Linked DNA regions of Saccharomyces cerevisiae S288C. The protein of the gene in region 2 interacts with the protein of the main gene of each other region in a pairwise test. Each region holds a gene or a part of one and is shown on either strand. Other genes may lie near its edges.

The links. Proteins that work in one complex are often made in the same cells at the same time.
Region 1: the proteins of YML119W (region 2) and YLL032C interact in binary tests that used the Saccharomyces cerevisiae proteins (3 or more experiments, as listed by UniProt).

The regions. Positions count from the first base shown.
Region 1 is NC_001144.5:72,410-81,564, reverse strand, and holds YLL032C (uncharacterized protein), read left to right. Parts: upstream 1-4,817; coding exon 4,818-7,295; downstream 7,296-9,155. Other genes in the region: FRA1 (aminopeptidase P), read right to left, coding at 1-104; RRT7 (Rrt7p), read left to right, coding at 868-1,209; mannose-ethanolamine phosphotransferase GPI13, read left to right, coding at 1,360-4,413; IRC19 (Irc19p), read right to left, coding at 7,464-8,156; putative AAA family ATPase RIX7, read left to right, coding at 8,419-9,155.
Region 2 is NC_001145.3:27,993-35,713, reverse strand, and holds YML119W (uncharacterized protein), read right to left. Parts: upstream 5,104-7,721; coding exon 4,030-5,103; downstream 1-4,029. Other genes in the region: NAB6 (Nab6p), read right to left, coding at 1-1,471; NGL3 (3'-5' poly(A) RNA exonuclease), read right to left, coding at 1,863-3,380; NADH-ubiquinone reductase (H(+)-translocating) NDI1, read left to right, coding at 5,907-7,448.

The DNA of each region.
Region 1 (9,155 bases), on a different chromosome or scaffold from region 2:
AACGGTCTGGGGCTGTGTGATGCCGATGTTCCTCTCATGTGCGTGCCAGGTACATGGGAAATCGAGTGAGCCCTGCCGTCACTGGTGGATGGTTTCGAAGTCATATGAAGATTTTGTTTGTAATTATTGGTTTCGCTCTGTTGAGGTCTCCGTTTTTTTTTTATTCTTTTTTTTTTTAGCTATGCAGTCTTTTTGCCAGTGCTTCCTGCCTTTCCTGTATTTGTAAATATTGCACCTATTAAGACTAAACTGACTCAGTTTTTGTATGTCGCTTCCTTCTTGTTCCATCCCTCATTCGAAGTATTTCTGAAAAAAGAAAACGTAGAAGAAAATTCGGGAAAATGGGGTGCGATTTTTAGGGGTCACCCGGGGATATACCTTCGGGTAACACCAGAAGTCGTCAAAAACAAAACAAAATTAAACTAAACTCTGGCGGCTAAAAGATAATCATAATGCACATAGGGAAAGCTTTCTACCATATTTGAACACTTTAACGGTTAGTTGAAATAATAAGAAATAATTATATGTTTATTTTTACGTGGGTTATAAAGACGGGTAAATTATCTTCGTTATTACTCATGAAAACCTACAAGTAAGCGGCTCAATGGCATTTCGTGGCAGATAATCTTCAGCTATCATTATTATTTTTGAGAGGATGGTTTTTAGGAGCAGTTTGAGGAATAAACAAGAGCTTAATGTACCGTTATACATTTTTAAAAAGCTGTCTTTTTTATTGGGTTCACAGCTCTCATTTTTTTCCATGCAAAATCATTTTTTTAGCCGCCGATGCTTCAAAATGGGTTTAAGATATTTATTGTTTAAATGTTTCTGCATCTGGATTCACTGAAAAAAATTTAGACGCCTAACATGTATTTTGCATTTAAAGGATTATGCGGGAGAAGATTTCTGCCCATTGCCTCTTTTCTTACTATATTGAATAGAATATTATTCCAATACTGGCTTTTTTACAATTCATTAAAAGAGGAAAAGACATTTCAGAAAATTTTCTTCTCTATGAACCTTAAATGTAGGAAAAAAAAGGAACCAAACCACATCATTTACTCTCAACCGCCTTTCTTGTTGGGGTTCATGGTACAATTGCAAAGTTGTGTCAAGTTGTTGCCACTCTATCTTTTGTTTTTGTTACAGGGTAATGGCGCACATTATGCAAGCGCGATGACGAGCAAGGTACTTTCTTTTTTCCTTTAACATTTTGTTGTCCACCGGAAAATAAAAAAAAACAAATAAATGGGTAAGATCAAAAAAGGAATAGAAGCATATGTTTTAAGGGCAACGCCGAATCGTCAAAGAACGGGAGGAAGATCAATACATTAAGTGGAAAAAAAAAGCTCCCGTAATATGGATGAAAAGACAATTAAAAAGTCGATTCTTTCATCTTCCAATGATGAAAAAATAATATACAAATCGCGAATAAAGAAATTTCAAAAGAATCATAAATTTTATATTATTCTATTGGTTTTCATCGCCATTTTACAATTCATATCAATAGCTTTTTTCACTCGGGGATTCTTACTGTCAAGACACGTTCTTGATAATATTTCCTCACAAAACGAAACGAGTAAGTTACCTCCTAGGTTCAACAAGGCGGTGATTTTGGTTATTGACGCTTTGAGATTTGATTTCGCTATTCCTGTAAACGAATCCCACTCTAATTACAACTTGAACTATCATAATAATATATTATCATTGTATGATTCTTTTGCAAGCGATAAGGATGCATCTTCCCTATTGTTGAAGTTCATTGCCGACCCACCAACCACTACTTTACAAAGACTCAAGGGTCTCACAACAGGGTCCTTACCGACTTTCATTGATGCCGGGTCTAACTTCGATGGAACAGTAATCGAAGAGGATAACTTTCTTAAACAGCTCCATTTGGCAAATAAGACTGTCAAATTTGCCGGAGATGATACATGGATGGCTCTGTTCCATCCGTTCCTTTCCAACGATAGTTTCCCACTAGAATCACTCAATGTGTGGGACTTAGATACTGTCGATAACGGTGTTATGGATTACTTCCATGATCATTTACAGCAGGACAAGGAATGGGACGTCATGATTGGACACATGCTAGGTATTGACCATGTGGGCCACAAATATGGCCCCGACCATTTTACTATGAGGGAAAAACAAATTCAAGTAGATCAATTTATCGATTGGATACTAAAATCGATCGATGATGATACCTTATTGGTTATTTTGGGTGACCATGGAATGGACCATACGGGCAATCACGGTGGCGACTCCATCGACGAGCTCGAAAGCACTTTATTTCTTTATTCTAAGAAGCCGGACATGTGGAGACTTAAAGAAACTTCGAATTACAACATTGATAATTTGGGACACGATTACCGTTCAGTGAGACAAATTGATTTGGTGTCTAGTTTGGCGTTATTGATGGGCCAACCGATACCATTTAACAATCTTGGATGGCCTATTGACGAAATAGCAAGAAACGATAGAGAATGGTCTCAATTTGTCAACTCAGCGATAAGCCAATTACAATTATATAAGGACACGATGCAGATCCACCATGGCAATGACGAAATATTGGAACCGTTAGCGAAAAATATATCTAACACCCCCCCAACAAGCGATCCAGAAAAATTTGTTAAGCTGGGTCATAAATACCAAAAGGTCTTCTTGCAGACCTGCGAAGAACTATGGGCCAAATTCGATTATTATTCCATTGCCACCGGTATAACGCTACTGGCCACTTCACTGGTCCTGTTGATATCCATTACAAAATTAATTCCTTCTATTGTTGTGAATCAAATGGTTCCAGAATTCGTTCCGGGAATTATCATAATGGTCTTAGTTACAAACCTATGTTTCCATGGAATTTTTTACGTTTATCAACAACCAAGTTTTGTAGACCAATTCTGGGGTACCCTGTTAGCGACTGCAATTGGTATCATTATTGGTTGTTATATCACAATATTTGATAGGTACAACTTTATTTGGATTGCTATGAGACTGGGTGAAACATTAGCTGATTATTGGTCAAGAATTGCTGTCATGTTTATGATTATTCATGCTTTGCTTTTCACTTCCAATTCATTTACTATTTGGGAGGATAGAATTGTAGCATTCCTTTTATCTACTTTCGGCATGTTGACGTTGTATGAATTTGTCTTCTTACCAAAAAGGCAATCCACCACTGCATTATTAACTGCAACAATCAGTGAAAAGGAAGGAACCACTTCAGGGGTCAATCCTTCGACAGCAAATTCAAATTACTTACCATTAACAAGATTTGCAAGATTACTAGGAGGTTACCATTCTGCAGTTTTAATCATTTTTACCCGGTTAGCTTCTATGATTACCATTTGTAGAGAGGAACAAGGCGAATATTGTATTCCAACATTTAATAATCAAAACAATTCCTCGTGGTGGGTTTTGGGTCTCTGTTTCCTAATGATATTCATATTACCTGCATGCATCACCGGTTATTATAATCTAACATCGTCTTATCAAGCTGCAGCTCCAATTTGGATAAACGTTTTCCTAAAGGGTATCCTTGGTTTGAACTTTGTTTATTGGTCATTGACTTCATTAGAAAATAACAGTGCGGTAATAGCAATACCGTTCTTACGGGACGTCACTATTTTTAAATTTACGTTGGCTAGAATTATTGCCGGTTTTTCATTGATTGCTTCTAATGTCGGCTGGCTAATGGGACCACTTTGTATTAAATTAAACATTCATAATACTGATGTTAAGTCTCACGAAGCAACAATTTTAGGTTATACTAATATTTACGGCTCAGAGTTTTTTCTTTTGGTCATAAACGTTCTCATTAGTATCCTACTATTCAACAAACCCCTGGCCCAGTTGTCATACTTCCTCATGTGCAACCAACTACTATCAATTTTAGAAATTATCGATCTTTTAAAATTAAAGGAAAACATAATTGGTCCAATTGCGTTGGGACTCTTATCTTACCAACATTTTTTCACCACCGGTCATCAAGCCACAATTCCATCAGTGCAATGGGATATCGGATTTATGCTGTCTGAAAAGGTAACGTTCCCCTTCACTCAGATAGCCATCATCCTAAATACATTTGGGCCTCATATTCTCGTCTCCTTATCTGTAGCGTTACTGACACTGTGGTCACAGCCTCCTGATGTGTTGAAGCCACAAACACTTTTAGGAAGAATTGTGTCAAACTGCGGTATATTACTCACTTACAATACTATTTTATGTCTAAGCTCCTTTATTTGGGTTACTCACTTCCGTAGACACTTGATGGTTTGGAAAATCTTCTGCCCAAGGTTTATCTTTGCTTCTTTAAGTTTAATAGTCACTCAACTGGTCGTTACTTTTGGTACAATTGCATTTGCTAGTGGGAGATTGATTAAGCACATAAATGACATTTTTTGGAAATGACGAACTTCATTTCCACTCTTTACTTACAAATATACTATATATATATATCTACATGTAATTTAGATACAAGTAAATCATATCTCTTGATATTGCAAAAATTTGAAAGCAAAAGCATCTCTTTTCTGCAGCTTTATTCTTTTAAGATTGTACATTTTTCTATCACTTTCTTGTAATCCTAAATTATATTTTTCTCCAAAATTTTTCTTTTCGCTTGTAGATTGTTTTTTTTCCACAAAGGCAAAAAACAAAAACAAAATAAAAGAAATAAAGGATGAAAAGTCATCTTTGTTTATATAGCTAACCTCTTGACTACCTGAACCTTTTGAAGCACTATTCAAGCCCGCAGAGGTTAAGTCTACACAATTGTTTAAAAAGAAAAACAGCAGTAAACACACGGTTGAGGCATGGATAACTTCAAAATTTACAGTACAGTTATCACAACTGCTTTTTTACAAGTTCCACACTTATACACGACAAATAGATTATGGAAGCCCATAGAAGCACCTTTTTTAGTTGAATTTCTTCAAAAAAGAATAAGCTCCAAAGAACTTAAAAACACAAAAGCAATCTGTCATATAGATCCCTCATGGGTCAATCTAAATGCTTCTTTCATTAGAGATGACATGATCTCAATAAAAGCTACCACAGATGATATGGACCTCGATGCTATTTGCAGGATTTCTTTGCCCTTACCTATGAACACAAATGATCTAACAGCAGAATTGGAAAAAATGAAACGTATACTATTGGACTTGAGTGAAAAATTCAATTTAGAACTAATCATCACCAAAGAACCAGCTTACTTCACACCAGAACAGACAGGCGAGAGCAAGGAATTATGTATTTACGTGCATGCATTAGGATTCCGATCTAATTTAATGGAATGCGAACCCCAGTTATTGGCATTTGTCGATTTAATAAAGAAGAATGGTATGACTTTGCCTCCACAACACTACATTATCGAACCTATGGAACTGAACTCATACTCTGTGCTTCCCTTATATATGGGTGTAGATATGGAAAACTTCAAACATATATCCAGAGCTTTTAAAACCAGCATTTACGCACCTTCCCTCATTACGCTGTCTAGGGATCTTAAGGCAAATCCACAAATCTTCTTCTCAGGCGCTGTCCATTCACTAAGTTTACTGGCTAGGAAAACTCTACGTGAGTCCATAAGCGTGAATTCAAAGAGTTTTTTTTATCGTCGATTGACTAATATTACCCCAGGAAAACTACTGTTTATCCGAAAATACTACCAACAAAAGGTAAACCAGTTAATTTTGAAATACCAATCGCTTATTAGAGTTACTAACGAATACATTGAATTTCAATCGATTTCCACGAACTTATTAGAAATGGTTATTAAGAACTTCACTATTCAAGTATTACATGAAATTGTAGAAGTACAGATTTCACTCAATGAAAACTGCGCAATGTCCCCGGAATTAATAATCGACAGCTTTTTCGGACACACTGGAAACCAAATTGTAGTAATAACTCCCAAAGAGGATTCCTTCAACCAATTAATAGTAGTTGGTAACCAATCTTCCACAGATGAGGCGTCCGATACTTCCATATTGCATTACTTATCTGATTTTATTATGGGCTCAAATCAAGTGATTAATCCAAACTTAAGACAGATAAAAGCCATTTTCGAGATACATCCTGATTTTGAAGACTTCATATCAGGCAAGAAAAATGGTAAATTAACACGTATAATGGAACTATCTGCTTGCTTAATTCAACTGGAAATGGAAGAGGAAGATGATAACCTTTATTTAAATTTGGTTAGTGACTCTTTCCCTGATTTCAAGGAATCATTTAAGAATGTTATAAATGAATTTCCTGCCGAAGAATCTTTCTTCATTCCTGAAGTTTGTCACAGACCGATTATAGGTACAGGTGGTTCCTTAATTCAAGCCACAATGAGAAAGCATAACGTCTTCATTCAGTTTTCCAATAGTTTCAATCTTCCACAAAATAAAATTTCTATGATCAGGTATGATAATGTGATAATTAGGTGCCCCAGGAAAAACAAAGCTAATATATGCCTAGCCAAGAATGATTTAAAACAAATTGTTCAAGAATATGATAGTTTACAATCGAAGACGCTCATTAGATTTTCTAGTGGGCAATATAGACATATTTTGCATGTTAACGGCCAAAAGAATATTATAGGACAAATCGAAAAGAACGAAAATGTTTACATAATGATACCGTTAAAAGAGCCCTTGGATGGAACATCTCAATTGAGTATACAAGGAAATGATGAGAATGCATCAAGAGCCGCTAACGAATTGGTTAATAGTGCGTTTGGTTATGAATACGAGTTCAAAATAGATCAAGAGATAGATCCCAATAAAGAATACGAATTTTATAACCTAATTGTTGTTCCATTTTTGCAAATTATGAACATAATTGTAACTTTTGAGAAGGACCTTATCACTTTTACTTTTGAAAAGGATACTAATGAGAATACTCTAACAAAAGCAATCGAATTACTATCCAATTATTTGGAAACACAAAAGACGAAAATAATATTTAAAAAAATAATTAAAAAATTTGTTCTAGGGTCTGCCTCCAGCAAGAGTAACACCAGTAATAGCAATACCAATGGCAATTTCAGATCAATGAATAATGCCAAAAGTCGTACGACCATCGATAATACCAGCCAATCAGGAGCCTCACCACAACGCCACAAAATGCCTGTTATAACGACGGTAGGAGGAGCCCAAGCCATCAAAGGATATATACCAAACACTTATTACAACGGATATGGGTATGGATACGGATATACATACGAGTACGATTATAATTATGCCAACTCTAATAAAGCTCAAACCAATAATAGGCATAAATATCAAAATGGCAGAAAATGAGAAGGAAAAAAGTTCAGTAGTATTGTAACGTTCTACGCACCTTTTCAATGGATATGCACACCACAAAATATGTCATTGCGCATATCCGCATCTATTACAGTATTTGATTGATATTTTACCATACATACTAAAAAGCTCCGCTCCGCTCCTCTTTTACGATAATGATCTTTATAACCTTGTACCTAATGTCTCATTGAGATATATCAATGTTGTATCGAAATCACTAAATACTTTGAAAAGCGGAATCTTTTTCTTTTCGGTTTTATTTAGCTTAGTTAGCGGACTAGAAGTAGTTTTCAAATGAGAGAATTTGACGTCAAGCTCATCATGGCCTATTCCTCTATGCAAAATCGATCTGTACTTTTCATATTGCATTGTTAAAAGGTTCTTTAAAATTTGCCTGCAATATGTGTTGTCCCTTGCAATATCCCACTTTTGAACTTTTGTTTCGGGCAAGTATGAACAGCTCTTCAGAACAAATTCCAAGGTTCTTTGCATCTCAGTCACGGGGAGTATCCTTTCACAACATTTCGTGTTGCTGAGAAGCTCAAGATTGATTTTCGACCTCAAGCCATCAGGATTGAATACCAAGTATCGTTTGAGTTCGTAGTTTTCTTTCATAAACTTATATCGAACATAATCCCTGTAAGTATCTTTAACCATTTTCACATTCGATATGAAAGGCTTAAGCCTCATAAATCGGCGGTAAAATAGCTTAACAACTGTACTTCTCTCAGGTGAGTCTGCATCTAGCTTTTGAAAACGTGAAGGAAGTTGGTATTTAGAATGCGATTTAATAAGAGTATAGTCTGGAGTTATAATAGCTTTTGCTGTTGTTATCGTAATAGAAGGCTTACGCATTGTGTTATCCGCTTAACTGCGATTAACATGCATACGTATGATATACTCGAGCTAGTCTCATAAGCTTTCTTCATATATGGTTGTCATGGCAAACTTCGATGTTCGTCGATAGTGACAGGTTCCAAAATTTTTCATTCAGCTCATCGCATATTTTGGAAATTCAAACAATGATTAACAACCGATGTGTGAATTAATCTGCGAGTCAGTTAGAATAAAAGATCATTAGGGCCGATAATAGCTACGTGGTGGGAAGGCTGGAATAATGGTTAAAGTAAAGTCGAAAAAGAACTCATTAACAAGTTCTCTAGATAACAAGATCGTCGATCTTATCTATCGTCTCTTGGAAGAAAAAACTTTGGACAGAAAAAGGTCTCTGAGACAAGAATCCCAAGGAGAAGAGGGCGAGAACAACGAGGGTGAAGAAGATGAGGATATATTTGAATCCATGTTTTTCGCTAAAGATTTAACAGCAGGTGAGATTTTTACCTTTTGTTTGACTAAAGATTTATCACTTCAAAGAGTTAAGAAAGTTGTCTTACAAAAGACAATTGACCGCATGCTAAAAGACGTGATTGAATCAGAATTGGAAGAATTTGGTTCTTACCCAGGTTACAACAACGAAGAGGAAGAGAAACCAAGCTTGGAAGAAGAACTAGCTAAGAAAAATATGATGATTGAGCGAGACACAAATGAGATGAACAAACGCATAACTAGCACGTGGTCCAAATCTGGATCTGTTTCCGAGTCTATAACAGAAACTGATGATCCTAAGACAGAAGAGGTTAAAAAATCTAAAAAAAGATCCAAAGAAGGTACATGTAAGGTAAAACGTCAAAAAATCAAGGAAGATAGATCTCCACCTAATTCGTCTCTGAAATCCTTAGGTGGTATGGATGATGTCGTTGCACAACTTATGGAACTAATAGGTCTACCCATTCTTCATCCAGAGATATTTTTATCCACGGGTGTCGAACCACCTAGAGGTGTTCTGTTGCATGG
Region 2 (7,721 bases):
TGATACCACTCATATTACTTTTATTATTGTTTCCGTTGTTGTTGCTATCGTTATTGTTCCCAGCAGTAACAGAAGGCACCGATAAACGATGTGTGCTCGTTTTACCCTCGTAAATATTAGCAACCGAAGATCTGGCTGAGCTAACTACCAACGGGGCTAGGGATACGTAAAAACATTTAGAAATGCCTAAGTTTTTGGAGTATTTTTTCAAATAATCGAGAACTTCAATAGCCATAGAGATATTCAAAAAGGTTAAAACGGCGTAATTTTCAGGAAATTGATTGGAAGGTACATCTGTGTTCACTAAATCGATAGATTCCAAAATGTATCTTTTGTTTTTTGACCTGTCCAAAAATTGTAATTTCTTTTTGAATAAATCGCTTTTCTCCACGGGGCTTTTGAATTCAATTATAATCGACCTTGTAGCATCTTTGTTCGCTATATTATGATGCAGCGAAGCACTGATCATTGTTGAACCATTGGTAATGTCGGCTTCTTCAGCGTTTTCTGTTAACGCTTCACTCTCAATAAAGGTAGGGAGGCATTTGGGATCATAGTTTAGACAAACAAATTTCAGATTTAGTGCTTCAGATTTCAAAAATGTTTTGAATTCAGATAACCTTTGTAAAATGTTATTGTAAAAGTTCAAACAGTCGCCTTTGGTTAGAAAGCTTATTAGAATGGATAGATTTTTAGTCTCTACATCTTTTGAATCATCGCTCTTCCCTCCTTCAATTAAGTAGGCACTTTCCAGAGTATTGGATTTGACAAAATTTTTGACTATAGAGTGTAAATCAATAGAATGATCCACATTTTCAATAAGCAGCGACCTAGTTCTATAAGCATCATCACCAGTCGGTAGAACCTTGTAATTAATACAAAAGGGTCTTTGTAAAAGCATTTCTGGAAGTATGTCGTCGAAAATGTTATTCCTTGCGAATGTTCTTCTTCCACTGTTGTTCCGGGTGTCGCACCCCTTATTGTTGTTGTGAGTAACATTCCTCGTACTGTTGTTGTTCCTCGAGAAAGAATTTCTCCCCATTCTATAATAGTTCGAGGGTGTTACCATTCCGTTATTAGTATTGTTTTGGTTACTGTTACTGTTTCCGTTGTAACCGTTATGATTAGAAACGGGCCTCGAATAAGCCTTTCTTTTGAGATTAGATGATCTTGCAGAATTATAGCCACTTTGCATGTTAGGCGAGGAAACAAATGGAGATCCCATCAATAGGTGAGATGGAAAAAGACTGGCACCGTATGCAGTATCAAAAGGTGTTGGTGGAATATTAGGTAATGGTGAGTTGGTGTAATATGCTGGGTGTTGAGAAGGACCATATTGGCCGGCACCGTTTACGAAATCAACAGGATGATACATCATTGGATTTCCCACCATGGCGTTCATCCCATTATAATCTTGCTGTTGACGGTATGCGTAATTCGCAACAGGTTTTTTTGAATTGGAATTTGACATATTGGAATCCTCAAAAAAAACAATAGAAAACGGATTCTTGCGAGTCTTGTTCGAGCCGATCAAAAACCCCTTCCTTGATAATATAAACGAACGACGTGAATGAGCCAACTACACCTCTTCAGTCTTTGGGATATCTTCTCTGGATGCTTTTCACGTAACCTGAAACAAGGAAAAAGGGCAGGTTTGTTGTGGTGTTTCTATGCTTGATTTTATTTTTTTTTTTTTAGCCCGTTGAGGCGCAACGAAAGGGGAAGGGTGACCAAAAATAGCACGTAAAAGCTGTGAATAAGGTGAAAGTGACGCTAAATTGAAAGAAAAATCCCAGTGACCATCGAAGCGTTGATTACTGTCTTTCAAACACAAATGTAGGTTGTTTATATATATTGTTTCTTTATTTTAAGCTATGCACTTTCTCCCCCCCAAAAAACAAGCGTATTTGGCACATTAGGGAAATGTGATCACTAGCATATTCTCCCTCGAAAGGTTGGGAGTGTTTGGGCATTTCTTGTGCGCACGGCATCCTCAGATATCCGATTATTTTTACGTTGTTATTTCCTTCAAAAGCATTCAGAGGCTCTTTCTGACGCGTGTCCTGATTATGATCACCCTCGATATAAAATATGTAGTCTAATAATCCACACCATGTATTGGCCCAGTTTGAGAGTCCCGGTTCGCCGTGGCTTCCGTTAGCATTTTCAGGATGCACTTTACCGTAGCCAATCCCATACAAAGATACGCCTTTCACATGTAGTGAATTATGCAACGCAACTAATTGATTTACCAGAGCCTTTTCTTCCTTTGTGGCTGTAAAGCTCTCTGGTTTTGGGTTTTGTGGTTGATCTGAATGGCCTTCGCCCCTAGACTTTTCATCACACTCTTCATCATCCTGGTCACTTTCTTCTCCATTCCTTTTTTTTGAATACCGATACGCTAGTGAGCATTCCACCATAGCTCTTATTGGGCCTTTTAATATCAGTGGTCTTTTCGTTATGGCCAAGTACGGTGGCTCTTCAGGTTCGGTATTGAAATCACCCATCAGTAGGCTATGCCAGCCATTATATTTGGAACATGCTTTAATTTCCTGGATCTTTTGTAAAACCAAGTAAGATTGCCTTAATCTTTCAAATACCCCAAAGGGATGCCAAAATAGGTGTGTATTTGCGACGATAATTCCTCTTGATGATGAATCTGTTATACCCTTGAAATATAGCGATATAATAAGGGCAATATTTTTAGTTCTTGTTCTTGCTGAAATGACATTTCCCGCCAATATATTATCGTAGTCCAGCATCCAATCATTATCTAACTGGAATTTTTTATTGTTCCATGCAACTAGTAGTCCATGAGTTTTCCCTTCATGCCTTTTGAAAATCACATCAAACCCTAACTTATGGAAATTCTCCTGCCAGAAGTTGAGTTCATTGTAATCGACCTCCTGCAACGATACTACATCAGGCCTGTACTTTTTCAATTCGTGGACCAAAACTTTTGATCTCTTATGCCACTTTAACGCTGGTCCACTTTCTGGGAAAAAATCTCTCCTAATCAAGGTTTGTGCTAGAGTATTATAGGTCATTATTTTAACGTCCAATGAATCTTGGGTGACTTGTATGGTCGCTGGCGTAAGACCTTTCGAATTATCATGGTTGATAGGGAGGAATGGTCTTTCAATGAATTGTAAGTCAGGCGTTGGGAAGTCAGGGTCCTTCCCTTGGGATATTAGAGAGTTCCTACGTACCTGTCTCTTCTGAGCACGTTCTTCTCTGATTTTCTTGATTTGATCCACACTTAATTGGTCTCTGTGTATTTTTTGATGTGCTGGGCCATCTTCACTAGGTGAAACGAGGCCTGAGGTGGAGGAGGACTCCTTCTGTGAGGGGGATATTTTGCCTTCTACTTGGCTATCCATATTGAAATTAATGTAGGAGACAAAACAAAAGAAAAAACTGTTTAATGCTGTAAATATTAAATTTTCAGTGAGCTAACTCCACGATAGTAAGTAGTCTGCTTCAACCATGTGTTAGTTTGGTATAACTATTGTGATTGAATATTGGTATTATAGGTCATCCTTTTTTTCTGTGCAACGAAGGGGTGGCTGAGCATTTTATATATAATGTCGGGAGAGGAATGCAGGACTTTTAACATATCAAATGAATAGTATCTGAGTTGTTCACATATTTGGTACGTATATTATTTATTATTCTGCAACTTGTTTACTGCATGATAATATTGAAATAAAGTGAAGAGAAGACGGCACAGAGAAATTACAATGGCGCAAACGTAAGGCAAAAATGGCACAACGAATTCTGAATTCGATTGCTGGATCACTTTTCAAAGATATTGTGTTCGGTTGTGACAAAGGCATCATTAAAATAATTATATGTCTTTTGTCATAAATTTAGATCGTTAATAGGCTTTTTTTTGTATTTTTAATTCACATGTTAAATGTTTCGTTTTGGCAACTAATAATAAACTACATTAAGTAAAATGCAAAACTTCAAAGTGCGGAAAAATGTATTGGTATATAAATACTATAGACAGAATACAGAGAATCCGTATCATTTCAAAGGTTCATTACTTAGTATCTCCGCAGGGAGGATTCTGTTGTTCGCACTTCTCTGCTGAAAGCTATCCTCCTCCTCATCTTCCTCATCTTCATCTGAAATGGCGATGCTAAAAGAATCTACCATTCGAAATATATCAGATCTATCCATTGCCTTTCCATCAAAACTCAATTCAAAGCTTTCGTTGGCATTTGTGGAAACACTGGCCCCGGCTCTCTGCTTCGCATTGGAATTAGGGAGATTCTTTACGGGCTTGCTGTTACCTTGCAGCTGCTTTTGTTGCCGTAACGTTGATGTCAGCTGCACTCCGCATAATTCGTCTAGTGATTTTGAGATCCGTGTCTTACTATTTGTGGACAATTGAATAGGTTGCAAGAAGTGATAGTTTTTCTCAAACTTCAACGAAATTAGCAGGATTATGATTTTTTTGGATATATCGTCTATCGTTTCGTGCACTGGAGATGGTAATTTATATGTGGTAACGACGGACCTAGGTAAGATGCACTTCTTGATGTTGAAATTTGTTTTTGATTTCGTGGGAGAATTCGTCAACTTAGGTGCCACACTAGTGCTACTTCTTGTACCATACAAATCAATTGGCTTGGTAAAATACCGTTTCTTTGTACACGTTCTGGAAGGAAAAATAATTTCATTTATGCTGCTCACTTCCTTCGTTTGATTGAATTTAAGAGATTTAGAATTTAAATGCGACACCGACTGATGATGCGGATGGGAATTTACATTGGTGTTTGCAGCGCCCATGGTATTTGTATATCTAGATGGCCTGTTATTATTACTGCTACCGCCCCCGGTATAATGGTCTTCATTAACTCCTTTATTAACCTGCGAAATACTGTTAAACCTTGGTCTCAGGTTTTTTGTGGGTGACTCTGGATAATAGAAAAACTGCTGGTTGGAATCGAAAGTCGCTTTTTGTTGGAAGCTCAGGACTGGCTGCTGATTCAAATTAAACTGCGTAGGAGGCAGGACCAGCCCACCGCTGTTATTGATGTAAGATGATTTGTTATTGAGCGTCCTTCTTGGCGACACTGATGGACTTGGGCTCATTGCTACCTACTTTTTTTCTTACTGACCTAAGGCTGCAGGTGCAAGAAAAGAGTAAAAGAATGTTAAAATACGTTTTGAAAGGTCTCTGTTTTCATGTACAATTGAGGGATAAAAAAATCTTTTCTTTCTTTCAATGCGGATGATTGACACTTTCTTATTTTGTGTTTTTATTTATGTTCTTTCCTAATCTGGAAAGCATATTAAAGACCGGCGCTACCCGGTTAAGTAATCATACACGTGAAAAGCACGTGAACAACAAAGCACTTTAAAACTCATATACTACGCATTTAAAGAATGCTAAAACGGCAATTGCCACTGGGCACCATTTAAAAGGTCAATAATGAATCTGTGACCTTTCTTTGCTATAGCATCACTACAACTATGTGTTGCTTGTCGCTAGCAACGAACCTATTATTCCTTCGCTTTATTGTCGAAGACCACAAAATACTCCAAAGCAATAGAATGTCTCTTTCCGCAAATAACTTACTCAGGGAAACAATACGAATATGTGCAGATTGCCGATCATTGCTGAAATGCCTCAAAAATATGCATTTTCTCATGACCTATTCATTCGGACCAATCATATGAAGGCATTGAACGTCCGGGTAACCACAATAAGAGTGCTCCCCCTTAGCGCTCTTGGTTATTGCCGGTATTTGCAACGTCGACAGGGTATATATAAGATGTATAGGGCATAGTGGGGAAGGAGTTTTAACTACCAATTGAGGAGTTTCAGGTAGGGTGTCAGTTTCATCACATCATCGAATTACACGTTTACCCAAGAGAAGAAACTAAAAACCACTATGCTATCGAAGAATTTGTATAGTAACAAGAGGTTGCTCACCTCGACGAATACGCTAGTCAGATTCGCTTCCACCAGATCCACAGGGGTGGAAAACTCCGGAGCAGGTCCTACATCTTTTAAGACCATGAAAGTCATTGACCCTCAGCACAGCGACAAACCAAACGTGCTGATACTGGGTTCGGGGTGGGGAGCTATTTCGTTTTTAAAGCACATTGACACCAAGAAGTACAACGTTTCCATCATCTCTCCTAGAAGCTATTTCTTATTTACGCCTTTGTTACCTTCTGCACCAGTTGGGACAGTAGACGAAAAGTCAATTATTGAGCCCATCGTTAATTTTGCTCTCAAGAAAAAGGGGAACGTTACCTACTATGAGGCAGAAGCCACCTCTATCAATCCCGACAGGAATACCGTTACCATAAAATCATTATCTGCCGTTAGCCAGCTATACCAACCTGAAAACCATCTAGGGCTGCATCAAGCAGAACCTGCTGAAATTAAGTACGATTATTTAATCAGTGCTGTAGGTGCGGAACCTAACACATTTGGTATTCCTGGGGTCACTGATTACGGTCATTTCCTGAAGGAAATTCCCAACTCTTTGGAAATAAGAAGAACTTTTGCCGCCAATCTAGAGAAGGCTAACTTATTGCCAAAGGGTGATCCCGAAAGAAGAAGACTACTGTCCATTGTCGTGGTTGGTGGTGGGCCTACTGGTGTAGAGGCCGCTGGTGAACTACAGGATTATGTTCACCAGGACCTGAGAAAGTTTCTCCCTGCATTGGCCGAAGAAGTCCAAATTCACTTGGTCGAAGCTCTGCCCATCGTTTTGAATATGTTTGAGAAAAAGCTTTCATCATACGCGCAATCACATTTAGAAAACACTTCGATCAAAGTACATCTGAGAACGGCTGTCGCCAAAGTTGAAGAAAAGCAATTGTTGGCAAAGACCAAACACGAAGACGGTAAAATAACCGAAGAAACTATTCCATACGGTACTTTGATTTGGGCCACGGGTAACAAGGCAAGACCGGTAATCACTGACCTTTTCAAGAAAATTCCTGAGCAAAACTCGTCCAAGAGAGGATTGGCAGTGAATGACTTTTTGCAGGTGAAAGGCAGCAACAACATTTTCGCCATTGGTGACAATGCATTTGCTGGGTTGCCACCAACCGCCCAAGTAGCGCACCAAGAGGCCGAATATTTGGCCAAGAATTTTGATAAAATGGCTCAAATACCAAATTTCCAAAAGAATCTATCTTCAAGAAAGGATAAAATTGATCTCTTGTTCGAGGAGAACAACTTTAAACCTTTCAAATACAACGATTTAGGTGCCTTAGCATACCTGGGATCCGAAAGGGCCATTGCAACCATACGTTCCGGTAAGAGAACATTTTACACCGGTGGTGGCTTAATGACCTTCTACTTATGGAGAATTTTGTACTTGTCCATGATTCTATCTGCAAGATCGAGATTAAAGGTCTTTTTCGACTGGATTAAATTAGCATTTTTCAAAAGAGACTTTTTTAAAGGATTATAGATGAAATTAACATGCCCTTTTCTGGAAAAAGGAAAAAAGGTGGTAGGCACCGTTTTTTCCTGAGTTTGCATCCTTTTTTTTCTAAAACCCTCTAAACAAAACCTAACACACACACACACGCACAAAAAAATGCACATGATGTTTTATTATTTATATATTCCCACTTTTTTCGAAATGATGCTTGACTAATGCACAAGCAAAAAACCCCGACAAGATTGGTTGATCACTTCAGCTTTTTCCTCCCATTGTCCTATATATATATCTGTGATTATT